Linked DNA regions of Xenopus tropicalis. The protein of the gene in region 7 binds, or shares a complex with, the protein of the main gene of each other region. Links are inferred from orthologs where the notes say so. Each region holds a gene or a part of one and is shown on either strand. Other genes may lie near its edges. The genes, in order: morf4l1, tada3, meaf6, mbtd1, ruvbl2, vps72 and trrap.

Evidence for each region.
Region 1: trrap (region 7) and morf4l1 share a complex: the UniProt entries of both Homo sapiens proteins name them as parts of the nuA4 histone acetyltransferase complex. The link is inferred for Xenopus tropicalis from reciprocal best matches to the Homo sapiens genes TRRAP and MORF4L1.
Region 2: trrap (region 7) and tada3 share a complex: the UniProt entries of both Homo sapiens proteins name them as parts of the TFTC-HAT complex. The link is inferred for Xenopus tropicalis from reciprocal best matches to the Homo sapiens genes TRRAP and TADA3.
Region 3: trrap (region 7) and meaf6 share a complex: the UniProt entries of both Homo sapiens proteins name them as parts of the nuA4 histone acetyltransferase complex. The link is inferred for Xenopus tropicalis from reciprocal best matches to the Homo sapiens genes TRRAP and MEAF6.
Region 4: trrap (region 7) and mbtd1 share a complex: the UniProt entries of both Homo sapiens proteins name them as parts of the nuA4 histone acetyltransferase complex. The link is inferred for Xenopus tropicalis from reciprocal best matches to the Homo sapiens genes TRRAP and MBTD1.
Region 5: trrap (region 7) and ruvbl2 share a complex: the UniProt entries of both Homo sapiens proteins name them as parts of the SWR1-like complex. The link is inferred for Xenopus tropicalis from reciprocal best matches to the Homo sapiens genes TRRAP and RUVBL2.
Region 6: trrap (region 7) and vps72 share a complex: the UniProt entries of both Homo sapiens proteins name them as parts of the nuA4 histone acetyltransferase complex. The link is inferred for Xenopus tropicalis from reciprocal best matches to the Homo sapiens genes TRRAP and VPS72.

Annotation. Positions count from the first base shown.
Region 1 is NC_030679.2:118,081,489-118,084,988, forward strand, and holds part of morf4l1 (mortality factor 4-like protein 1), read right to left. Parts: intron 3,427-3,500; coding exon 3,401-3,426; intron 3,299-3,400; coding exon 3,210-3,298; intron 2,932-3,209; coding exon 2,830-2,931; intron 2,018-2,829; coding exon 1,929-2,017; intron 1,850-1,928; coding exon 1,677-1,849; intron 1,386-1,676; coding exon 1,301-1,385; intron 957-1,300; coding exon 872-956; 3' UTR 1-871. UniProt on the Homo sapiens protein: Component of the NuA4 histone acetyltransferase (HAT) complex which is involved in transcriptional activation of select genes principally by acetylation of nucleosomal histones H4 and H2A.
Region 2 is NC_030680.2:138,580,975-138,584,946, forward strand, and holds the start of tada3 (transcriptional adapter 3), read right to left. Parts: upstream 2,801-3,972; 5' UTR 2,613-2,800; intron 2,513-2,612; 5' UTR 2,371-2,512; intron 411-2,370; 5' UTR 393-410; coding exon 186-392; intron 1-185. UniProt on the Homo sapiens protein: Functions as a component of the PCAF complex. The PCAF complex is capable of efficiently acetylating histones in a nucleosomal context. The PCAF complex could be considered as the human version of the yeast SAGA complex.
Region 3 is NC_030678.2:86,132,697-86,136,196, forward strand, and holds part of meaf6 (chromatin modification-related protein MEAF6), read right to left. Parts: intron 2,271-3,500; coding exon 2,155-2,270; intron 1,663-2,154; coding exon 1,575-1,662; intron 734-1,574; coding exon 688-733; intron 294-687; coding exon 101-293; intron 1-100.
Region 4 is NC_030686.2:23,310,543-23,314,042, forward strand, and holds part of mbtd1 (MBT domain-containing protein 1), read right to left. Parts: intron 2,350-3,500; coding exon 2,215-2,349; intron 507-2,214; coding exon 418-506; intron 236-417; coding exon 1-235. UniProt on the Homo sapiens protein: Chromatin reader component of the NuA4 histone acetyltransferase complex, a multiprotein complex involved in transcriptional activation of select genes principally by acetylation of nucleosomal histones H4 and H2A.
Region 5 is NC_030683.2:113,417,080-113,421,110, forward strand, and holds the start of ruvbl2 (ruvB-like 2), read right to left. Parts: upstream 2,801-4,031; 5' UTR 2,605-2,800; coding exon of another isoform or gene 2,556-2,604; intron 1,568-2,555; coding exon of another isoform or gene 1,512-1,567; intron 1-1,511. UniProt on the Homo sapiens protein: Possesses single-stranded DNA-stimulated ATPase and ATP-dependent DNA helicase (5' to 3') activity; hexamerization is thought to be critical for ATP hydrolysis and adjacent subunits in the ring-like structure contribute to the ATPase activity.
Region 6 is NC_030684.2:137,929,488-137,932,167, forward strand, and holds the end of vps72 (vacuolar protein sorting-associated protein 72 homolog), read right to left. Parts: intron 2,365-2,680; coding exon 2,247-2,364; intron 2,157-2,246; coding exon 1,980-2,156; intron 1,891-1,979; coding exon 1,746-1,890; intron 1,495-1,745; coding exon 1,116-1,494; 3' UTR 501-1,115; downstream 1-500. UniProt on the Homo sapiens protein: Deposition-and-exchange histone chaperone specific for H2AZ1, specifically chaperones H2AZ1 and deposits it into nucleosomes.
Region 7 is NC_030685.2:26,359,720-26,363,219, reverse strand, and holds part of trrap (transformation/transcription domain-associated protein), read right to left. Parts: intron 3,256-3,500; coding exon 3,056-3,255; intron 2,456-3,055; coding exon 2,238-2,455; intron 2,059-2,237; coding exon 1,861-2,058; intron 1,735-1,860; coding exon 1,474-1,734; intron 1,383-1,473; coding exon 1,221-1,382; intron 1-1,220. UniProt on the Homo sapiens protein: Adapter protein, which is found in various multiprotein chromatin complexes with histone acetyltransferase activity (HAT), which gives a specific tag for epigenetic transcription activation.

The DNA.
Region 1 (3,500 bases), on a different chromosome or scaffold from region 7:
ACAAGCAATACACATATTGAATAATCATACACGTTGAGAACAAGCTGGGACATGGTTGCATTGTACAGAAACTCCACCCGGGAATCATTACAGCAACTCAAATAGTTCCATGCAATTTACTCTGTCCATTATTTTGTTTTAAAGGTGCTACTTGGCAAGGATTAAACTGAAGCAGACATTTCTGGTCTCTGTTGCTTCACAGAATGTCCAAAATGGTCCCTTTCTGAAGAATAACAAAAGGCCAGAGCTCAGGGACGACACTTTGTTGTTTTTGCACCATGCCAGTCATAAAGGAGATACAGTATCAGACTTTATTTTCAGGAATCCATAAGAAAGTACTGCTGCTTCCATATTCCAGTAAGATGCAGGACAGTTACTCCTAGAGATCCAGATCCTACACTAAGATATGGTTGTACCCCAACTTCCATTTACTAAATAAATTGTGATAACTAAAAAACAGAAGTCAGATAGGTCTTGGATTTGAGTATCTTCGTGCCATTAAATATGATGAACAGACCAAATATATTTTAGATGCTCAGGAGGTCCACACGTTGAGGCTTCTAAGTGAAACATCTTTGGTCACGAACAGTTGATATATTAGCTGCCAAAGTTCCGATACTTTCTAAAGTTACCACCCAATGACATTGAAATCCAGTAACCAAAGGCAGCTGTGTCTGTCTTTTTGTTCACAACAGTCTTCTCTCTCAGCTTTTTTTCCCCATAACCAGCATGGTGGAGGAAAGCTGCAATGTGTACAATGAAACCTGTCCCAAGTTTTTTTTTTTTTTTTTAATTTGGGGGTTTTAAAAGTCATAAGAGCAGTCACAACAATGCTCAAAAGCCGTTCTGTCTGTGGTGTTCTTAAATCAAACTATACTGCTTTCCTGTGGTATTCTGGGGGCGCCACTTCATAGTCACTGGCACTAAAGAGCAAGGAGGAATTTTTGGCTAAATACCTAAGAGGAAATAAAAATATCCATAATAAATAAAGCAAAGTTAACATTTACAAGCACTGCAAACAGACTGAAATCACTACTTTCTCAGAACTGAGTACAAGGCAGAATTAGTAAAGGGTAGCTTTTCCAACATTGCGATTCTCTAAAAGGGACTACACCCCCATGTGAATATCAAGTGGCAGGATCGATGCTTGTCAACTATTATGTTACCATGTCACATGACAGGAAGCTGATAGAAGTCAGGAGATGTGGCGTGCCAAATCAAACTTCCTAAGGCTAAAAGTGAAATTAATACTGAGATAATGTGATTTCATGGTGCAACTTGTCAGAAAAAGGTTACTCACTTTAAGAAATCATGTAGATAGTTGAGAAGCAGTGCCAGACTCTTTTCATCGAGGGGAGTATAAGACAACATGGCTCCAATTCGGACTAAAGAAACAAAATCAGAACATTTAATTTTACAAAACTTTTTTTTGGTGATAGTTTTACACAGGGCTTCACACAATGCATAAGGCACCATGTATTCTTGTCAAACTATATCAAATAATGTAAGTTAAAGCGTTAAAGCACATGGAAAATCACAGACATCCATTCAGCCAACTATTCCGGCAGAGCAAATACTGGGCAAGGGCAAAGTACTGGAATTTAGAATATTCTGAATACACTGGGCTTGTTAAAAGCACCAGTTTCACTGTCAAAGATCCAGAATAATGATCTTACCAAATAGACGCAGAAGGTGTGGTGCTCCATACACTTGAGACATGGGGGCATCTGGATGGTCTGCCAGAATGTCTGCATACTGGGGACGTTCAAATTTGTATAGCAGCTGTGTGCCAAGCATTACATTAAAGTATTCTTTGATCCCTGCCACAACTTCATTTACAGCATATTCCCTAAGAGGGAAACAGGATATTAAATCAGGTAGTTCCTCTATACTGATCAAGGAATGTAAGCTACATAAATATGGCTTACTTGTTATCGGTATTTCCCCGAGATTTTTTATACGTAGCATACTCCTCCAAAACAGTTTCCACATTTTTCTTTGCTGGAAGATTAAACAGCTGTGTGGAGAGAAAAGGGAGTAGCATAAGAAGCTTTACATTCACATACAACAGTGGTAAGCAAAGTAATTTAATTCCTCAATATCTTTCCTTAAAATGGCCTACACCCACCCCTAAATCATGTAACACTTCTGGCCCCCCTTCTAATCTGTTAGAACTTGGCAACTATGTAGATGCAAGCTGCTTGTGCACTTGAAAGGAGTCAGAGGAAGGCCAGTAGTATTTTGTATCCAAGGCAGTACTATTTGTTCCAGTGCTTCCCACCAATTATCTACTCTGGTCGCCACTTACACAAACCCCTCAACAAGATGCTCACTTGCCCGCACTCATCCTGCCCCCGCATGCAGTTCATTCACTCCCTGGTGAGAAACCCTAGTTCTAGCCCGAAAAGAAATAAGCATAGCTAAAAAATTAAGTGTTACTGACTAAAATTTTCGCTTTTTAGTTATTCATAATTGTCCTTTTCTTTTACCAACCCTGTACTCTTCTGTATTACCTTGTCCCTCCCTTATTCTCTTGGGGCATCTATAGGTTGGCTATAAACCTACTGGATGATGTAATGAGCTAATACAGAAAAACATATTTGTGATGTTAACCATACAACACTGTTAGAAAGTAGGAACACAATAAGTTTTTAAAAGGTATACTTAATCTGTCAAAGAAATGACACTTCCAAAACAATATTTTCAAAGTCATACAAACCCCTCTAACACATACACAAGCTTTACAACTAGTTAGTAATATCATACTTTGCATATCATGAGCAGCATACACATGTAGCAAATGAACAGATTTTATCCCAGGATTTATACCTGTTTCTGTCGTGTGATTAAATCCCAGTCATCCACAAGCCAAGGTTTTAGCTCCTCTGGAATCTTTACCTTCACTTCAACTCTGTTCATAAAAGTCTCCTCCTGGGGGTATAACATATTCTCAGAAATGAATAGTTGACACTTTCTACTTCTATACCGAGAACACCTAATTTGTTCCTAACATAGGTCATTTCATGACTAAGGAAAAGTAGTTATATAAAGCAGGGAAAAGTAGTAATATAAAATCAGTGACACAGAACCATTACTAAACCCCTGGTAAAGACCCACATCCACTCTTTCACTGACCCAACTAACTGCCTTTAGCACATCCTGTCAGGGGGACAGCTTTTAAATTAATAGTTGGCTCCATGTATACTTACACTTTCCACAGTGGGATCTATCCGTGCCCGTTTTTTCCGTGGTGGCTGCGGAATGTCACTTGTGCTGCTGCCCTCTCCACTTCCAGGGCCTGCAAAAATACAAATACACTTGTGGTGAGGTCACATACAAAAAAAATTCACATACACAGAGTAATTCAAATATTCTTTAGGAGAAAAAAAGAGACACTCACCTTTCTGTTTATTCTTCTTTGTTTTGCTGGAGGATAAGAAACAAATTATTAGGATAAGTGAAAATCTCTATCTACAATAGAACATTTACAACAACAAAAA
Region 2 (3,972 bases), on a different chromosome or scaffold from region 7:
ACAATAAATATAACGGGCAGCATATGCAGCATTTTGCCATCTGAAGATTTATACCAACTCAAACCTATAGACATTCCTACTGGGCATGAAACCCTCCTACACAAGGGCATATTCCTTCATGCCAAGTACACTGGGCAGCCACTGCTGAGGGACGGGTGCTCTACATTTAACCCCCTGATTTTTACCTGGGTCTCCGCTTCCAGAACACGGAGCCTCCTGCTTGCAGAGGACAGTAGGGTTTCCAGCTCCAGCTGAAGGGTATCCAGCTCCTCAATCCCGATTCCGTCATCCTCGGAGCGGGACAGAACTGCGGTGTATCTGGGGCACAACTTGACATGGTCCACAGATTTGAAGTCATGGAACTGGAGAGGGCAATCCTTTAACTCGCTCATTCTGCCAAGGCTGGCGGCCTGCAACAAAGAATAATACAAAAGGTTAAGATAATTTTTTTTTTAGAATACAACCTCTGCATTATTTGAGTGCAAGCCCTTTTTCTCTATTTAGTGCGCTGAAGAATCTACTGTTGGACCTAGGCCAACTCCCATCAGCCCCTTATTTCCACCTAGCCATATACAACACCTATAACATTGTTTTGTTTTAAAAGGGGGCCCTATGGAGGGCCAAGTCTGACCCTGGTCTAATATGATACACCAGCAAAAATGCAAGAGCTCAAAAATCCCCCCTCTGAAATAAACAGCGAATCCCTTCTTAAACCTAGAATACATGCATATGTTGCACCAACACAAATGTATGCAACCATACTCTGCAGCACCAATAGGCAACAAGCCATACCACATGTGCATACTGTTCACCAATGCTGTAATGCAGGTGAATGCGGTACCCCCAATACACTAAGATGAATATATCATCTATACTCTGCAGCACTAATGCACGTGTATATTGTTCTGTACCCCAAAATACCAGGACTGTCTGTGCACCTATAGCCTGCAGCACTAATGCATTTGTATATTGCAGCCTTCATACCCTGCAGCACTAATACATGTGTATATTACAGCCTTCATGTACCCATACCCTGCAGCACAAATGCATTTGTATATTTTAGCCTCCATACCCTGCAGCACTAATGCATGTGTATATTGCAGCCTCCATACCCTGCAGCACTAATGCATGTGTATATTGCAGCCTCCATACCCTGCAGCACTAATGCATGTGTATATTGCATCCTCCATACCCTGCAGCACTAATGCATGTGTATATTGCATCCTCCATACCCTGCAGCACTAATGCATGTGTATATTGCAGCCTCCATACCCTGCAGCACTAATGCATGTGTACATTGCAGCCTCCATACCCTGCAGCACTATGCAGCACTAATGCATGTCTACATTGCAGCCTCCATACCCTGCAGCACTAATGCATGTGTATATTGCAGCCTCCATACCCTGCAGCACTAATGCATGTGTATATTGCAGCCTCCATACCCTGCAGCACTAATGCATGTGTATATTGCAGCCTCCATACCCTGCAGCACTAATGCATGTGTATACTGCAGCCTCCATACCCTGCAGCACTAATGCATGTGTATACTGCAGCCTCCAAACCCTGCAGCACTAATGCATGTGTATATTGCATCCTCCAAACCCTGCAGCACTAATGCATGTGTATATTGCATCCTCCATACCCTGCAGCACTAATGCATGTGTATATTGCAGCCTCCAAACCCTGCAGCACTAATGCATGTGTATATTGCATCCTCCAAACCCTGCAGCACTAATGCATGTGTATATTGCATCCTCCAAACCCTGCAGCACTAATGCATGTGTATATTGCAGCCTCCAAACCCTGCAGCACTAATGCATGTGTATAGTGCAGCCTCCATACCCTGCAGCACTAATGCATGTGTATATTGCAGCCTCCATACCCTGCAGCACTAATGCATGTGTATATTTTAGCCTCCATACCCTGCAGCACTACTGCATGTGTATATTGCAGCCTCCATACCCTGCAGCACTAATGCACAGCCAGCTGTAATGGCCGGCCATACTGTACCCCAATGCCCCAGTACTATTGATAAGTGCACCCATACCCCCAATGCACAACAGGCTATAGGGCAGGTGTATACTGTATGCCTATGCAGGAGCAGTAACACTATGCACCTGTGCCCTGGGGTAGGGGTTATTACTAATAACCCCTTATGTACAGGTAACTGCTCTCCAGTTGCTGCAGAACTGGCGCTTTGCGAAAGGGGCGGCTGGGAGTTGTAGTCCTATTCTATTACAGCAGGGGAGTAAACGTATTTAGTAGCCTATGGCTACCAAATGACGCATTGTTACAGGTACTCTCCGCATATAACGCAAGCACTGAGCCCCCACGCACGGTATATACCGACACCACACAATATGCCCGTACCCACACTCCGGCCTGGCCCCCTCAATGGATCCTGCTCCTGCGCTCGTTTCCTTTGTCTCCCAACGGCCAGTAGGGGGCAGAGCCAAGCTCCTCACGCAAGGCCGCCACTGTCACCGCCTGTCAGTCACCCGGGAGCGTACCACTGCGGAAAAACAAATAGGGGTGTCAGTAAATGGGGAACAACTAATAAGGCTGGAATAGGCCGTTGAGCACAATAACCCGTTCTTAGGGAACGTTCTTACCACAAGCGCCTAATGGGTTCACGTCCACAAGGCACAATCTCTTTTAAGCACCCATTTTGTGCCCCGATGGAATCAACCATAGAGAAGAATCGTACTTGGCGCGCAATGGCGGCATTGGGAAGGCTTAGCCTGTGGGCTCCCGTAGTATTACTATTGATGTGCAGCTGTGATAGATCCGCAGGTATCTGGTATCATAAGCCTCTAGCAGTCGTGATAACAATCTCTCTCATGAATACCTTGTAAGAAATTTCTCCCGGTCGCTCATGTTCTGTTTGTACACCCCCTAAACCCCACTTTGGTCTGACCCGCCTGCATTCCACATTCCCTAATATGGCGTGAAGCGGGGCGAGCCGGACCATTTTCAAGAGGAGGGTGCACACCGGGTAAATTCATATAGTATTGCTTTTTATACGTATATGAGAATAATAATGTAACAAGAACGGAACTGAGATATGCTTATGTGTATATCCACAGCCCAAGCGGCTAAATTAATCTACATGGTTTAAGTATAAATGTTCGCCCAACCCCAGTTTATGATGGTTTAGTCCGACCGCTGGCTGTGCCAGTGAGGGGGAAGAGAGGTAGTGCGCATGTGCGAGTCTGTCACTTCCGCTATCGGGGGATACCGGAGCGATGGTGAGTGTGAGGGGCGGGGGGTTTTACGGAGAAATTGACACGAAAGAGCGACAACAGTCCGGGATAGAGAACCGGGCTATAGGCCGCCTGTGTTTGCCATGCTAAGCCCGTGGGTCGAGCAGGGAGCGGTGCAGGGGCGGCTTAGGGAACCGGTCTTGGGCGGGGGCCCGGCGTAGGAATGTTCATAAGACGCGGTGTATTCCTTACATTCATACAGTGATCCCTCTGTAATACTAAGGAAGACTGTGCGGAACTACAACTAAACGTCCTTCCCATAGGGGATTAAGCGAATCCCTCCATAGGCATTGCCTGCCTGACATCTGTATAGTGAGAGCTGCAGTTCCGCAACACTCGCCCAACCTGTAACTGCCTGTTGGCACTGCCACCGGCGGGACTTTCATTTTATTCAGCTTTAAGGCAATGTATGTGCTAGTGAGAGCGGGGTTTGCTCCATTCTCTCTGATTCCTGCACTGCCGGCTCTCACTATTGACACTTTGTATCTGAAGCCAGCTGAGGCATTGCCCATACACGCAGCAGGAGAGCTTGGCTTCTGCTACATTGTTGTAAGAGTGAGAATAACCTTGATTGCTTTTTAATTGCAATGACTGCTAATAGACAGTTGGCTAGGCAACATTTCAATTCTGGGATTACTTCCCCTTTAAAATATGTGGGTGTCTTTACTGGAGCAAGAACTGTCCTTTGGGCAGGTTGTGAGTTTCTACT
Region 3 (3,500 bases), on a different chromosome or scaffold from region 7:
GAAACAGTAAAACTTCTAAATCATTTTTATTAAAAAATAAAAATAGTGTCCTTAAATACAGTTTTAGCAAATTACAGTTCTAAGCAATTTTTCAGCCAACCTGTGCCTATTTTTATTCTTGCGTTTCTTGTGACTGCTGTGATGGCCACCAGAATTGGCTGAAGAAGCTGCTTTTTGAGGTTTAACACCAGACAGGGAACCATCTAAATCCTCTGTATCATCTTGGCTAGGCTCATTTTCTTGGTTCTGAAAATCTGGAGAGTTGTCGCTCTCTGTTCCGCTGCCTGGCTCCCCTAAAAAAAAAAACAGAGCAAGACCGCATAAGATGCAGTCAAAAAAATCCACGAAAATGAAAACACACAATTCTATAACTGCAGCTAATGCATACATGGTACAGATGGGCTACCTACCATTGCCAACATAAAATGTAATGATATACAAACCCTTTTTAAAGTCTTATGATACTGATAAATAACAGCTCAAAGATTACTTTAACATTTCAGAGCATGTTGGAGTATGATGTAAGTATAAGGAAGGTTTTGGCAAAAAGAAAGAATAGTGGAGATCCTGCGCAAGACAGTATCTGAAAGTAAATCAGCAATAAAAGATGCATGACACATTAAATTATGCTCTCATCTCACTTGAAGACAAATACAAAGCAAAAAAACATATAAACATTACACTCACGTTTCTCAATCAGCTGGTCTTGAACACCTGCCAATGCACTGACAGCCTAAAGTGTAAACACAAATATTTGTTATAGAGCAATAAGGCACTTTCTATAGCAGCTTAGAATATAATATGAGCAAGTTGAACAGAAGGACTCGTCTAACTGGAGATTCAACACCTGAATGTGGCATTCCAAATTAATTTAAGGCACTGGCGTACATATGCACCCCACAGATTTTTTATGTCATAATTGAATTATAATCTGGTCCACAAACTTACTGGTTACCACCTAATTGGTCCACTTTTTATTATAAGTTGGACAGCACAGTTCTACATAAATGACCTGTACAAGAACCCAGAGATCCAAAATGTTTTTCGATGTGGCTATGCCCTAAAAAAATCTGTACATAGACTGAAACTGTAATTACCAAAACAAGATTACCATGCAAATGAAAAGATGGTCATAATCAGGCCTTATAAGTTGGCCATTCTAAGGGCTATGGCACACGGAGTGTTTAGTCTAGTGATGCCATCCAGAAGAAAACAACAGTAAACAAAATACCATTGTCCATCTGCCTGTTAGTAATTAATGAAATGCGCCAAATTGTAAACCCATGCAGTGGTGGCAGTAAGACTGTGGTATGAAAACTGTGCTTTTCATTAAAGAAGAACTAAACCTCCCCTAGACAAAAGCCCCCCATCCACTGCCTTCCAATGAGCCCCATCCTTGCTCCCTCCCCTTTGAGTCTATTTCAATGAAAAGTGTCTCTGTAAAGCTGACCTACAGATGCAGAATACCACAGCGGAGCTAGCTAGTCATTTTAGGGATTATAAAATAAAAGGTTTACTTATTCTTTAATGTTCATTCATTACTAACCATGAAAGCTTTCTTAAATTGTACTTACAGCAGCTGATGTTACGGAAGATTTGCTAAAAAGTCGTTCTGCTTCTTTGAACTTTCTGTTCCTCCTATCATTCTTACTGTTTGAATTCCTGCAATAGAAAATTTTGTTTACTAGATTCACATATAAAAATATATTTGGCACTATTCTCCAGCAAGCCCTTTCTCATAGGTATCCATAGTGTATGATTATTGGCAACCATACTGTTCATATTCATAGACAAAATTTTATGAAATTACATGTATTGCCAGTTTCAGAAGGAACAAATAACATTCTAAACTACAGTGCACTTCAATGCATTCTTTTTCTAAATACTGTCAGGAGTTCATATTTTGCTTCATATTGCAGCATAAATTGTAATGCACATTAACTGGAAAAAAAAGCATATTAAAGCATTGACCATAAATCCCAGATCTTTAATAAAGTGAGTTATAGCAGTAAATGTAGTTGTGGTTGGGGGACTACTGTAGTCTGTTAAACAGTAAGTGAATCAGATTAAGTTGTATTAATCTTTTCATCAAATTTCTAAAGCAAAGGGCATATAGGGTTAAACAAAAACAGAAGCTTACTAATCCAAACTTACTTTTGATTTGTTAGGTAACGGTCCCAACCTCTGATAATGTTACCATACATCTGTGTGTCTTCCAAGTAACTCCCTTCAAAAGCATAGATCTGCCGTTCTAAATTTGCAAGTGTCTCCTATGGAGAGAGACAAATCACAACTTTTTAAAAATGCTAAATATTTATGGACACAATATTAGGACAGTTGGTATATACACAGATTAAAAAACATTTGCAGGTCTGTTACATGATTCATATTGTGACAGAAGTCAAAGATTTAGGGGGTTATGTAATAAAGTGCACTAAGTTTGCCCAAGAGAAGTAAACCATAGCAACCAATTAGCAGGTAGAATTTACTGGTCACCTGTTTAAAAGCACACTTCTAATCTTATTGGTTGCTATGGGTAACTGCTACATCTTTTATTGCATACGGGGTTAGACTTTCTCAAGTAGGCTAAAGGGACCGATATTACACTGTAATTGCTTCTAATGTATCACCTCAGATACTCAAGTAGTTTCAATGGCAACCACATGTATCAGCATAAAATGCCCACCCACTCAGTAATTGGGTAATAAGGATCCATACAGTTCTAATTTACTGAACAGAAGCGTAGCACATAACAGTTTTACATGGGTGGTGTGTTGATTTTAACATATGATTCGTAAATATTGGTACCATATAGTATACAATTACATGCTGATGCATTTGTGAGACTTAGAAGCAGAGTCAGTTGACTTGTGGCATATGGGGCAGGGATCCAAATGCCACCTTTACCACTGCATTAAAACCTTGGTAATTTCCACATAGAACATGCTGCCAACAAAATGGATAATGGTGCTTTTCAAATTCAGCTCACCCCAACAAAGTAAAAAGCAGTGTTTTCAATTGCTGTTGTCAAAAGTTGCTCTCAAGTGCGTGCTCTTGTCCCAGGAACATTTGCGCACCCACTGCAAACTATCAGCAGTGTGCACACAAACTTTCCTGGGACAAGAGTGGCTATAGAGAAAAACAGGGTCTGCTTTCTCTGTAGTTACGCTACTGAAAGTTACTATATTTGGATCATGGCACATGGAAACAATATTGCATGAAAAACAGTGTTGTATTCGTAATTATGTGAATAATCACAGTTTTTTTTTATATGATGGGGAAACATTCAGTTAAAAGCAAGTTGTGAAGTCACCAAGATAAAACACTGCATTAAGACCCATCCAGGATAGCTGTTGGGACATATGACTGCTGTCCATTGATGGGGTAACACTTTTACGGATCCTTAAATCAAAAAGTTTGCTTAGCCAAGTACATAATTAATTGGTTAGAAATTTGTTTGACATTCTTGCTTTCCAACAACATAGTTTGAAAAGTACTCC
Region 4 (3,500 bases), on a different chromosome or scaffold from region 7:
CAGTTCTTTTGAATCGGTGCCCTATGCTTCTTGACCAGCCAATGGGATGAATGAGGGGACTGTACATGTGGCACCAGAAGTCATCAGTTTTGTCTTCACTTTCTTCATATACCAATCTTAATCGACCTCCAATTACACTATCTACTACTGCAACCCGTGTTCGACAAAGATGTGTTTTATCAACTACTTCTACCCTCATGGAAGGCTTGAAAGGATACTGCATACTTTCAGATACCTGCAGAATCAGATGAAGGACACATCAGAGCGTAAATAAAGAATAAATTAATTTACCAGGTATAGTAGGCCATCAGCAATAGAATATTTCAAGCACACAATTAGCAAAAGTAATTTCTCAGTTACAGTTATATGCTGTTCCACCAGATAAAGGTAATCTATAATTTTGCTATGATTAGTTACCTTTTGAGAGAAGTCTGGTGGGAGAGTCTTTGCACCAGTCAATCGTTTCACTAAAAAAGCTTTCCAATTTGTGTATTTGTGTTGAATGGCTGTAAAAGACACATTGTAAAACTGAGAATAAGTGAATATACTAGAAAACAGGCTGAAAAAAACAAAACAAAAAAACCTAAACTTCCAACATTTGATGAAAAATTAATATAAAATAATGCAATAGAACATTTATAGCAAATGCAGCACAGGCTCGAGGCAAGATAATCTCCAATGCAGTACACTTTGTACGTAAAAGTGTTTAATTTTAAAATCCATAGTCCTGTAAATGTATAAACTGACTTCTACGTACATAAACTGTATCATTTGTATAATGCGCTCATGGAGTATTTTAATTGCCTGAACAGGGTAACAATAAAACTATGAGTACAGTGGAAAAAATTGCAAAGTATAGCAATTTTAATGTCTGAAAGTGAACTGCATGCCATTAAAAAGTTTTTCAAACGAATCCTGGTTTTTAAAAGGTGAACTACCTCAACAGCTGCTTTTTGCTTGTCCTGAAAGAACATCCGACACCCCCCAAGTCAGGGCAAGTGAGGATCTGGTTGTTCTACTACATGCACTCGCATTCATTCAGGGGCCCATTCATGACAGCACAAATTTTTTTTGTGAAAAAAAACGTATTTTTTCTAATTTATAGAACTTTGTTATGTCCACGATATTTTCGTTAAAATTCCACGTCTTTTCCGTGGTTTTCTTTCACTTTTTGGAATTAATTCAAGCTTTGGTATCAGTCAAAGCTGGATCTGTCGAGTGCCATTGAGTCCTATTGAAGGCTTCCAAAATCATGCATTGAAGTTTCAAAGCTACAAATGTTTTTGCGCCGTTGACGATCGTTGGGATCCGAAAATTTTTTGACTTTCGGATCACAACCACAATATTTTCATAAGACCGAGAAAAGAATGTGACATTTTCGCACATCAGAAATTATTGTGGTTATTCCAAATTTTTTCAAATCGTGCTTGTAACCACCCAAAATTTGTGGTATAATGAATGGGCCCCTTAGTGATTATAAGCATGTGTGTATATATATTTTAAAATGCTGGGACATCCACATAACACTTTACAATATGGGATTGAATTAAAACTTTTTTGATCTTTGAAAGAGTGCCTGATGTGTACCATTTCCTTCTGTAATGGTTTGTTTATTTGTTACCAAGTGGCACTGAAATTTCTGCTACTCTGTTCTGTTTTAAAAGAAAAACTCAAATGTAAATTAAAAAATATATAATAGTAAATTAGTAAGGAAAACGTTACTGGGTCCATTTAAAATAAAAAAAAAAAAAAAATTTAACAGTAAAACAGTAACAGTATTTTTACATCTATTATTGTAATCCACTCTTCCCTTACTTAACTGAAACATTTCTATAAACCATCTTTAACAAAACACCGTCCCTGATTATTTCATGTAAGAAAGAACACCATGATCGTTCTATTATAGTAGTAATAGTGCAGAAATTGAGCCTCTAATCATGTTAGTCAGGTCAGGACTATGCTAAAAGAAGATATAAATCATATATATTATATATATATATATATATATATATATATATATATACACACACACACACAGACATAACTGCTTGTGGAGCCCAGGGTTCCCAGGTTTGGAGAAATATATCATGTACTTGCTTTTTTATAAAGGTTTTTTTTTTTTAATTCTGAGCCATATTTCATAGGACAACAAATTATTTTGTGCATATATAATGGCAAAAAAACAAACAAGCATGTTAACAAGATTGACATTACTTTGTGGTGGGACCAATGGTTTTCCACTAGTTGCGCACCAGCCAACTGGATGAACGTCAGGTCCACAAATGTTACACCAAAAGTCAAGACTGGAATCGTTCTCAAAGCCTTCATACCTTAGTAATGCATTAAACCCTAGGAAAGAAAAATTAAAATGGAAATATTCTTTAGTTGGATGACAATTATATGATAGACTAAATTATAAAAAAAATAAAGTATATGCACCTTTTCTGGAAAGAAGCTTGGAATACAGTACCAGACCATATAAAAAACTTCCACAACTTAATATATTTTTGTGTGTTTAATTATAATTTTTCTTTGCAGTTGAGTAGAGGAGGTGCCGTGCTATATACAGTGGCTTGCAAAAATATTCGGCCCCCTTGAACTTTTCCACATTTTGTCACATTACAGCCACAAACATGAATCAATTTTATTGGAATTCCACGTGAAAGACCAATACAAAGTGGTGTACACGTGAGAAGTGGAACGAAAATCATACATGATTCCAAACATTTTTTACAAATAAATAACTGCAAAGTGGGGTGTGCGTAATTATTCAGCCCCCTGAGTCAATACTTTGTAGAACCACCTTTTGCTGCAATTACAGCTGCCAGTCTTTTAGGGTATGTCTCTACCAGCTTTGCACATCTAGAGACTGAAATCCTTGCCCATTCTTCTTTGCAAAACAGCTCCAGCTCAGTCAGATTAGATGGACAGCGTTTGTGAACAGCAGTTTTCAGATCTTGCCACAGATTCTCGATTGGATTTAGATCTGGACTTTGACTGGGCCATTCTAACACATGGATATGTTTTGTTTTAAACCATTCCATTGTTGCCCTGGCTTTATGTTTAAGGTCATTGTCCTGCTGGAAGGTGAACCTCTGCCCCAGTCTCAAGTCTTTTGCAGACTCCAAGAGGTTTTCTTCCAAGATTGCCCTGTATTTGGCTCCATCCATCTTCCCATCAACTCTGACCAGCTTCCCTGTCCCTGCTGAAGAGAAGCACCCCCAGAGCATGATGCTGCCTCCACCATATTGGACAGTGGGGATGGTGTGTTCAGAGTGATGTGCGGTGTTAGTTTTCCGCCACACATAGCGTTTTGCATTTTGGCCAAAAAGTTCCATTTTGGTCTCATCTGACCAGAGCACCTTCTTCCACATGTTTGCTGTGTCCCCCACATGGCTTGTTGCAAACGGGACTTCTTATGGGTTTCTGTTAACAATGGCTTTCTTCTTGCCGCTCTTCCATAAAGGCCAACTTTGTGCAGTGCATGACTAATAGTTGTC
Region 5 (4,031 bases), on a different chromosome or scaffold from region 7:
CAAAAGCTAGACATCATGCCAAGATCCAAAGAAATTCAGGAACAAATGAGAACAAAAGTAATTGAGATCTATCAGTCTGGTAAAGGTTATAAAGCCATTTCTAAAGCTTTGGGACTCCAGCGAACCACAGTGAGAGCCATTATCCACAAATGGCAAAAACATGGAACAGTGGTGAACCTTCCCAGGAGTGGCCGGCCGACCAAAATTACCCCAAGAGCGCAGAGACAACTCATCCGAGAGGCCACAAAAGACCCCAGGACAACATCTAAAGAACTGCAGGCCTCACTTGCCTCAATTAAGGTCAGTGTTCACGACTCCACCATAAGAAAGAGACTGGGCAAAAACGGCCTGCATGGCAGATTTCCAAGGCGCAAACCACTTTTAAGCAAAAAGAACATTATGGCTCGTCTCAATTTTGCTAAAAAACATCTCAATGATTGCCAAGACTTTTGGGAAAATACCTTGTGGACCGACGAGACAAAAGTTGAACTTTTTGGAAGGTGCGTGTCCCGTTACATCTGGCGTAAAAGTAACACAGCATTTCAGAAAAAGAACATCATACCAACAGTAAAATATGGTGGTGGTAGTGTGATGGTCTGGGGTTGTTTTGCTGCTTCAGGACCTGGAAGGCTTGCTGTGATAGATGGAACCATGAATTCTACTGTCTACCAAAAAATCCTGAAGGAGAATGTCCGGCCATCTGTTCTTCAACTCAAGCTGAAGCGATCTTGGGTGCTGCAGCAGGACAATGACCCAAAACACACCAGCAAATCCACCTCTGAATGGCTGAAGAAAAACAAAATGAAGACTTTGGAGTGGCCTAGTCAAAGTCCTGACCTGAATCCTATTGAGATGTTGTGGCATGACCTTAAAAAGGCGGTTCATGCTAGAAAACCCTCAAATAAAGCTGAATTACAACAATTCTGCAAAGATGAGTGGGCCAAAATTCCTCCAGAGCGCTGTAAAAGACTCGTTGCAAGTTATCGCAAACGCTTGATTGCAGTTATTGCTGCTAAGGGTGGCCCAACCAGTTATTAGGTTCAGGGGGCAATTACTTTTTCACACAGGGCCATGTAGGTTTGGATTTTTTTTCTCCCTAAATAATAAAAACCCTCATTTAAAAACTGCATTTTGTGTTTACTTGTGTTATCTTTGACTAATAGTTAACGGTTTTTGATGAGCAGAAACATTTAAGCGTGACAAACATGCAAAAGAATAAGAAATCAGGAAGGGGGCAAATAGTTTTTCACACCACTGTATGTAATATGGTTTAGAACAGTTCCCTTAGCCCTGCCCCCTGTTCTCCTGCTGATCTGGCTGACAAGCCTGCCTTCAGCCAGCATACTCCAAATCCCACAATTCCCTGCACATATGATGTTAAATTTACTTTTAGAAGGAAGGACAGATCGACACGTATCCAATCTGCCACTTGCTTGTCTAACGCTAACCAGTGTCATTATAAGCAAAAATTCATAACCATTCATATTATAGTATTAGAGCGCTTTCAGTACCTGACGGGGTTCCAACGCATCGTCAAGGCCAAGCCCTCTGATGTGAGAATGTGCGCCTGGCAAAGAGAGACAAATGTTAGACTATATACACAAAAATAAGCAGTTAATAGGTAGGAAACACAAAACACAGACTAATTTTAATGTGTTGGATATCTTTTGTATTAATCTATACATACCCAGACTACCTCATACAATTAATATGCACTGTTACACGTGCTAATGCTAGGATGCCAAATGCAGAAAAATAAATGTTTTACAGCTGGATTTCAGCATATAAAATGGTATTTATTCATACTTTTTAATGGAACAGATTACAGGGATAGGTATATTAGGGGTTTCTGTGTTGTGTGGGGCTCTTTAACTAATTTTGGCTTGGAAGCCGCTGTTTGATTTAATGGATATGGAGGTGAATATATATTGTCTTAAGCGAGTTAGAGAAAAACATAAACAGACACTGCTTTCATTTGCAATTACATGTACAAATTGTTTCCTTGAAATATTTTATTATTTGGATATTTGTTAAGCAATATATATGTTTTATTTTATCATATATAGTATATATATATGTTATCAAAATAATCTGGCACAGAGCCAACAGCTTGACCAAAGTGTAGGAAAAAAGGCACTGTGGGCATTCCTTATTAGCAACATATTTCTTACTTTAAACAGGCAAAAAATTATGCTCAGCACTCAAAATTTTTGAAAAGGGGTGTATAATGCGCGTTTAAAATTGTTGTTGCAATTAGATAAATAAAATTAAACACATTTGGCTTGAAAGTAAATGAAAATAGTGATGGAACTTTGTGATGCTAATGCCTGGGATTGCAGCAAAGTTACAACCCTCTGTAGCTATTTATCACCAAGGAGACTGTTTGTTGATTAAACTGCACTGCTGCCCATGGAAACAAAAAGTGTCACGATGCAATGGAGGTGAATACATGAGTTCTAAAATATTCAGTTATTTGAATAGGAGGGCTACATGGGAACCACATCATGTTTAGCAGGTTATTTTTGTGTTTATTTTTGTAGTATTTTTACACTCACCAATCCTCTCAATCCGGGTGACATCTCGCACCTCTGGCACCTTGGTTGTCTATGAGACATAAATAACCATGAATATTGATCACGGTTTCCTTTAGACATCAATGCATGAAATACTAATTACAACTCAGCAGCAAAATAAATGCAGGAGACATTGGCTTATAAAGATTCACCAATGTTTTCTACAGAATGTGAGATTACCTCTTGAGAATTCCAAATGTATTTGCCCCACCCCTGCATGTTGTGAGCTGAACATTGTTTTTTGTCCACCTCATGCCCATTTAGCCCTACCTTTATATAAGAACAACTGCAAACTGCCTCGGCCTATGCCTGTCATTACCATCCTAACAGTCTGCCCTAAGGATCTTCCCCGTTAACAAACGGTTTCCTAGTAACAAATCAAGGTTGTTTGCAAAGCAAATTCTCCAACAATAGGATACGGGATGGTAAGAACCAAGGCAAACTGTCCTGCTATAGGATACCCAAAACACACGGGTAATTCATGGAACTGGAGTCATTTTACTCTTATAGTACTCAAGAGCAACTACATACACCCCTGTCACACCAGGCAACACAAGCCATCTGACAGGGAGTATGATGTGAAATAACAGCTCAAGCAGGTGAGCAGTTTATCTAATTGAAAGGATTTACTAACATTTGCACTAAAAATCTGCCTTATTCTGGACAATTCGTAACCAGGAAGCTGTTTTTTTTTTTTTTTTGGTCATACAAAAAAAGATGGGCTAAACTGGCAGACTGTCTATCCAGGAACAAGCAAAACAAAGCTACTGAGACTAACACCGTGTTAAATAATTCATCCCCAGAGGCCCAGAATATTCAGCATACCTCTGCCACTACACCACAAGCAACCCCCCTAGCTACTGCATGGCTATATCCAAGGATGATGGAAAGGCTGGAGGAAAGCATCTTTGGTCTACATTGCATTCAACTATAGAGTAATTAATTTGCTTACCATGAACCAACACTACTGCTCCATATAAAAGTGGCCATACACACCAACACATTTCACAGAGGGGGGAATTTACAAACAGATGCATGCCCTACGGTGATGCAGAACCCCATGGCAACCATAGTTCAGCTTTTTGCAGTCAACTGAGCAGAATGCTATGGAGTAAATGTTTCAGTTCTGGTGAGGCTGGCTGCACTAAGAGGCCTGAATATACTGCATAGAAACAAGAGCTCTTTTTCACTTTCCAATAATGATAAAGGAATGAAATCTTACGCCATGTAACTACAAACCTGAACCTATGCATAGCCACAGGAAAAGTATCTCATATCTGTTATAGGCTGTTTCTCTGGAGCTAGTGTGTAGATCTGGGTTACTCTTTTATATGCAGTGCCCCCTATACCCCATTTGGCCTGGTCAGGTTCCTGCTGCCTCTCCCTGGGCACTATATGTTGACTAACATAGAGCAAAACTGTCCTGATGAAGTAACCTATGGCAACCAATGAAATACA
Region 6 (2,680 bases), on a different chromosome or scaffold from region 7:
GGCAAACTTAGGGGGCTGTTCCTGCTGAATTGTACTTAGTACAGGGGAATCCCTATGTGCCATAGTTTTATGGTATCTCTCTGTACAGGCTATGGGCAAACTTAGGGGGCTGTTCCTGCTGAATTGTGCTTAGTACAGGGGAATCCCTATGTGCCATAGTTTAATGGTATATCTCTGTACAGGCTATGGGCAAACTTAGGGGGCTGTTCCTGCTGAATTGTGCTTAGTACAGGGGAATCCCTATGTGCCATAGTTTTATGGTATCTCTCTGTACAGGCTAAGAGCAAACTTAGGGGGCTGTTCCTGCTGAATTGTGCTTAGTACAGGGGAATCCCTATGTGCCATAGTTTTATGGTATCTCTCTGTACAGGCTATGGGCAAACTTAGGGGGCTGTTCCTGCTGAATTGTGCTTAGTACAGGGGAATCCCTATGCTGCCACTGGCGCCCTGTACTTTTACTCAGCATGAAAAGCCATAATAAAACTCACAACTAACTACAATTCACAGAAATTACTAATCAAATTTATTATAATGTACATAACAGACAGTCCCCCCCCCCCCCCCCCAGTGCTCTAGGAGCATTTAACCAACAAAACATCTCTGGAAACCAAAATGCAAACTGACTTCAATTTTTATAGTGTGTTATCGGACCTGGTGTGTGGTTGCTAGGGTAATCAAGCCCTAGCAACCAGATAGTAGCCTATAGAGAGAGCTCAGCCCTATATAACATACAGTACGTCAGTCAGGTTAAAGCCACCCTGGTAACTGCATCTGTGCCTTTGCCCCACCCCCCATACTGTTTGTTTAGCTGCTATTGGAAGCAGGTGTCCCAGTCCCCTGTGTGTGTTTGGGGTGGGCGGGGTTTACCATTTGGTAATTTGAACTGAATGGCGGCCAATTACATTACTGCTAAGGGGAGCAGCCCCCCCCCCCCCAAATGTGAGGGGGCTCATTAAGAAATTCAACCCCCTGGCCCCTCCCATTTCTTCTACTCCAGGAATCAGAGGAGCAATGTGGCCCCTGTAGATGTTCTACAGCTTCCCAATGGGAATAATCCTTTGTACATAACTCTCTCAGAGTGCTGTAATGGCCGGCAGACGCTAGAGGGCGCTGTATCAGGCGCTTGGCACGCTCTGCTTGATAATGATTTTCTGCCTCGTGTTGCGTTGGGCGGCGTCAGCAGAACTGGGGGCGGGGCCCATAGCGGCCGCCATGGCGGCGTTAGGCAGGCCGTGCGTGGTGATGTATTTTTTGTAAGCGTCCCGGATGATTTTGAAGGCTTTGGCGTTATAGTAGGGGATGTCTGTGATGGGGTCTCGGTACTGGGCCGGCTTATGGGTAACGGGGCAGATGTCCCGGACTGAGAACTTGCCCTGCTTGGTCCTGGGGAAGAATCGCTCGAAGGATTCGTCGTCGCTGAATGTTATGAAAGTGCGGGAGCATTTGCCCGCGGACGAAACTTGGGCGCCGTCCCCTGTCTGCTCCTGATCCAGCCTGTGGCCCCCAACACATAAAAGAAAAGCAACAAGAGAAAACGTTGTAATGGTTAAGAAAGTGAGTATCTGGTTGCTAGGGTCACTGACCCTAACAACCAGGCGTTTGCTTCAATATCAAGGATGGAAATGTAATGTACACAGGGCAGCATCACATGACTGATGGGTTTGCCCACTGAGGATGCCCCTTGTTACACATAACAAATGGGAAGAGGGAATTGTACAAAGTAGGAGCTGCCATGTTGCACCTACCCTTCCACATCCACATTCTCCTCCTTCACGTTGAGCTCGGTGATGAGGGGCATGACCAGCGAGTGGTGGCGGATGGTGGGGCCGACGCACCGTCGCTTCTTGTGGACCTGCTTCTTCCTGTCGGCTTCCAGGCGCTCGTAATTCTCTGTGGGAGAAAGGGAGAAACCATTGGAGCACGGGGGGGGGGGGGGGGAGGGCACCGGAGCGGGACGGGGAGTGGCGGTACTCACGCACCTAGGGAGCGGATGTTGATCTCCTCGGTGATCTTGGCTTCTTCCAGCAGCTCCACCTGGGTCAGCGGTCGGTCCTGGTGGGGCCCCTTCTTTTTCTTGGACTGGATCTGCCGCTCTTTTACTCGCAGGAAAGTCTGCCGCGTGTGCTCCGTCGTCGATTGGCGCATTTGTTTGCGGCCTGAGAGTTTAAAGGGGAAGACTAGTTAGGAGAGCCAATCGGATTCTGAGCATAGGAAACCCCCTAGCTCACTGCCCGCGGCATACTCACTGTCTACTGCGTCCTCTGGTGTCTCCTGAGGGTGAGGCTTTTCTGGGCGGCTTTTTGCTGCACTGCTGGGAGGGGCATCTGCTTTCTTGGGCTTTGGTTTAAGGAGTTGAATTGGCTCCTGTTTGGGGAATACAAGGAAATATTAAAAAAGTAGCATAGCCTGGCTATAAAAGAAAGGCTGCATGGCTCTCAGTAAGTACAAGACACACAGATATAAAAGAAAGGCTGCATGGCTCTCAGTAAGTACAAGACACACACGGCTATAAAAGAAAGGCTGCATGGCTCTCAGTAAGTACAAGACACACACAGATATAAAAGAAAGGCTGCATGGCTCTCAGTAAGTACAAGACACACACAGATATAAAAGAAAGGCTGCATGGCTCTCAGTAAGTACAAGACACACACAGATATAAAAGAAAGGCTGCATGGCTCTC
Region 7 (3,500 bases):
TTTGTTTCCCTGTCTATCATGTAATTTTTGACAGCCTGCTAGAGTAAGTGGGGCCCAGTTTGAATTATCGTAAGGTTAGTGGGCACCAAATTATCATACATCTAGCCATTTTTCATCCGACATCAGTCAGAAAATCAATCAGGCAGGTTTGCAGGAAGTTTCCCTAGCTTTAACTAGACGATATTGCTTCAAATGGTTATTTTCATTTATGGACAAATCATAATTTTAAAGTTTACATTTCCTTTAAAGTCCACCTGGTTGAGTGGTGCCCTCTGTCCTGCCAGTACCTTTATCAGTAAGTTTGTCTGGTCAGCAACTAGTGATGTGGGAGTTGGGTAAAACTCAACCTGCACAACCCAACCATAACTGGCAAAATGTTGCCACTTTAGGACCCACACCCAAGTCTTTCTGCTCTATAAGCTACTTCTGCATGCACAATGGGTTCCAAGACAGACAAATTTCAACCCTAACCTGCCTAATGGAAAACCTGCGGGTTGTGTCAATCCACACAGTGTTACTGGCAACTCCTTATGGTGTAAGGCCACCTTTAGAGGAAGGTTCCGGCACATTCTTCTCTACTGTTGCATTTCTACTTTGAGCCATGGAAGCTTTACAATAGTAATGGAGACAGGCTAATTAAACAGTCTTTCCAACGGCTAATAAATCACTTAATATTGAAGAACACTCTCTTGGATTCATGAAATGAATGCATTGTTTAGACATGTCACTGCTTGGTTTTCCTCTCAAGTACTATAAGTATCTCCTGTATCTATAGGTAGATAGGATGAAATGCAAAGGGATTCGACTCCATAGAGAGCCTATTTTCTTAAACTCTTCTGCCCCGAAGTGGGAGACTTCTGCGTTGCCCAGGAAGGTGAGGAAACAACTGTTCCAATGCTTATTAATATTTTGTATTTTTAACAAGCCACAGTAACTGTTAGCTACTTCTGCCAAGAAGTGTGCTGGAGCAAACATTATAAAAACAGATTTTTCCCAAATGGTGGTAACAAAAAATAAAAACTGTACAGAGTTATATATAAATCAAAACAAAAGTTACAGTTGTTGAAAAAAATGTTGGTTCTTACAAATTCTAATCTATTCAGTCACTGTAATCCTCACTGCTGCTGTTGTAGAAATACTGAGGCTGAGGCTGCATAAGGTCACAAGCCCAGAGATAACTGCTTTACATACATACATACATAAGAAATGGGCAGAAATACCTCTGAATAGAAGACTTTGTGTTCAACAACATTGAGGTCCATCGTGAACAGTCTGGGCTGAAGCGTTGTGCAGAAGGTGTTACCTTCCATGAGACCAATCTGGGCATTTGCTGGCTGATGACGGAGCAAATGCTTCTTTGGCGGAACCATGTCCTGCAAGACCTGGATACAGAAGTCATTGAAATGAATGTAGGCTCATTCAATGAACAAACAAACCACATGGGCACAAAAGTCCAACCACACACCATCTTACCTCTTTATGAGGCTCCATGATCATGGTGACACCTTTTCCAGTCACCTGTGCCAGGACTTGCAGTGAGTGCATAGCTTGCTTTCTCACAGTGGGGTTTGGAGAAGTCACTTCCCGAACCAAATCATGCGTTACGAGGTGGAAGGATTTCTTGTGGGCATTCTCTATCTCCTCAGTTTTCTCCTCATCCTTAAGTGGGGTTGCACAGCGGATCAAAAGTTGCTCCAGGGTCGTCTTGGCCATTGCCACTGCTCCATTAGAAACCTATAATAATATAGTTAGATTCAGTAATATATCACAACATGCTGTTTAAGACATGCTGTACCCATAAACAGAGATCACTAGGCTCTCACTGAGCAGGAATGACACTATGTGATGCCCACTACCTACCTCACCAGTCAAGTCCATCATGACGAAAAGCAAGGCCTTGAGAAAAGTTTGCTGATTCTGAAGAACCCAAATGAGGGGAAGGCGTTCCATTAGGAACTTAATAGAAACCACGCCACCTAGCTTTGCATACCAAGCCTGCTCGTAGCAGCATGCACAAAGTCGTTCCACAATGTAGGAGAACAGAGGTAGCTGGCAGGCCTAAAAAATAAAATTAAAGACAGTTTATGGTACATTTTGATTCAGGCATTAATGGCTAATGGGTTAGATCTCCAAATAATAACGCTAGCTGTCAAAGAGGCTCATTTAATGATAAGTACTATAGATATTAATTCTAAAGGCATGTTCCTTTGACTGATCTTATGCAAATGGTGGATTACCCTTTCCTTTGATCCTAGAATGATACTGGCGACATCAAATATCACGGCCAAAGCCACTTCTCCTATCTTGCACAGTTCCTTCTCCTCATAAGCCATGCATATTGCTATGGCGTCAATGAGCACCAGCGGGTCCATTCCCTTGGAGCCATTTTCTTCACTATGAAACATGGCTGTACTTGGCTGGTTTCCGACCTGGTAGCACTGCAGAAGGAAAGGGCCTGGGGGCAAAAAGAGGAAAAAAAATCTGATTTTAGTCTAACTGTTGTACTCAATTTCTGAAAACCTATACATTAATTAAAATTAGTTTTCTTGTATTTCTGTATGTTTTCATTACTCAGATATCTAAAGTGTTCCTCTCAGCAGTTTTACAAACAAATTTTAGAGCTATAAACTTTTGAAGTGTCATGTGACATTGGATGTTGGGTGCTATAGCCATCATCATTGGCCCAAGCCCACGTGTACACAAAAACACTGCAAATCGAACTGAAAGTCATGAAAATGCCCATGAAATAGCCAAGAAAGTTGTAAACCATAGTGAATCTTTTTATAATATAGATTAGTCATTGCTGAGAGGAGATGATAGAGGGTGCTACACTATTACCTGAATGTAAAAGGGTAATATAAATATAATGTATTTTATAAGTCTGCCAAAAAGGTTATATCATAGTATAAACATTATAATCACACAAATGAATCACAAAAAAATGCAGTAAACAGAAAAATAAGATTTATAAGGGTAGCAAAACCTAGCAATGCCTTATGGGCCAAATATCTAAAAAGAAATTTATGGTTAGCCAAAGCCAGGAACACAAGCTCACCGCACTGCTGCGCAACAGCTACCATGGTGTAATGTCTAATCAAACTGGCAACAAAAGGGAGAGCACTTGGGCGCAGGTCCTTGATCACAGCAGACATGAAGGCTCCAGTTAACGCTTGCTCAAAAGTTTTCCGAGCTGGGGTATCCTGAGCTTTGTATCGATGTGAAATAATGACACTTGGGATTGACTTCTCTGTGAAACTGCAAAGGGAAAAAGGAGACTATTATCACTGGGAAACCCAAGCTATTAGCTGGCTGGCCCAATGGAACAGGGAACTTTTAAAGTCAGAGGTCTTATGATGCTAGAATATTTTGTATTTGCAGTGTACGGACAAACAGGGAGGATCTCTATTGAATGGAGTATTTAAGTATTTGCCCCATGTAACAAGGGTTCTTTAAAGGACATGTAAAATCAATTTTAATTCAGGGTGCAAAATGTTAGGCAC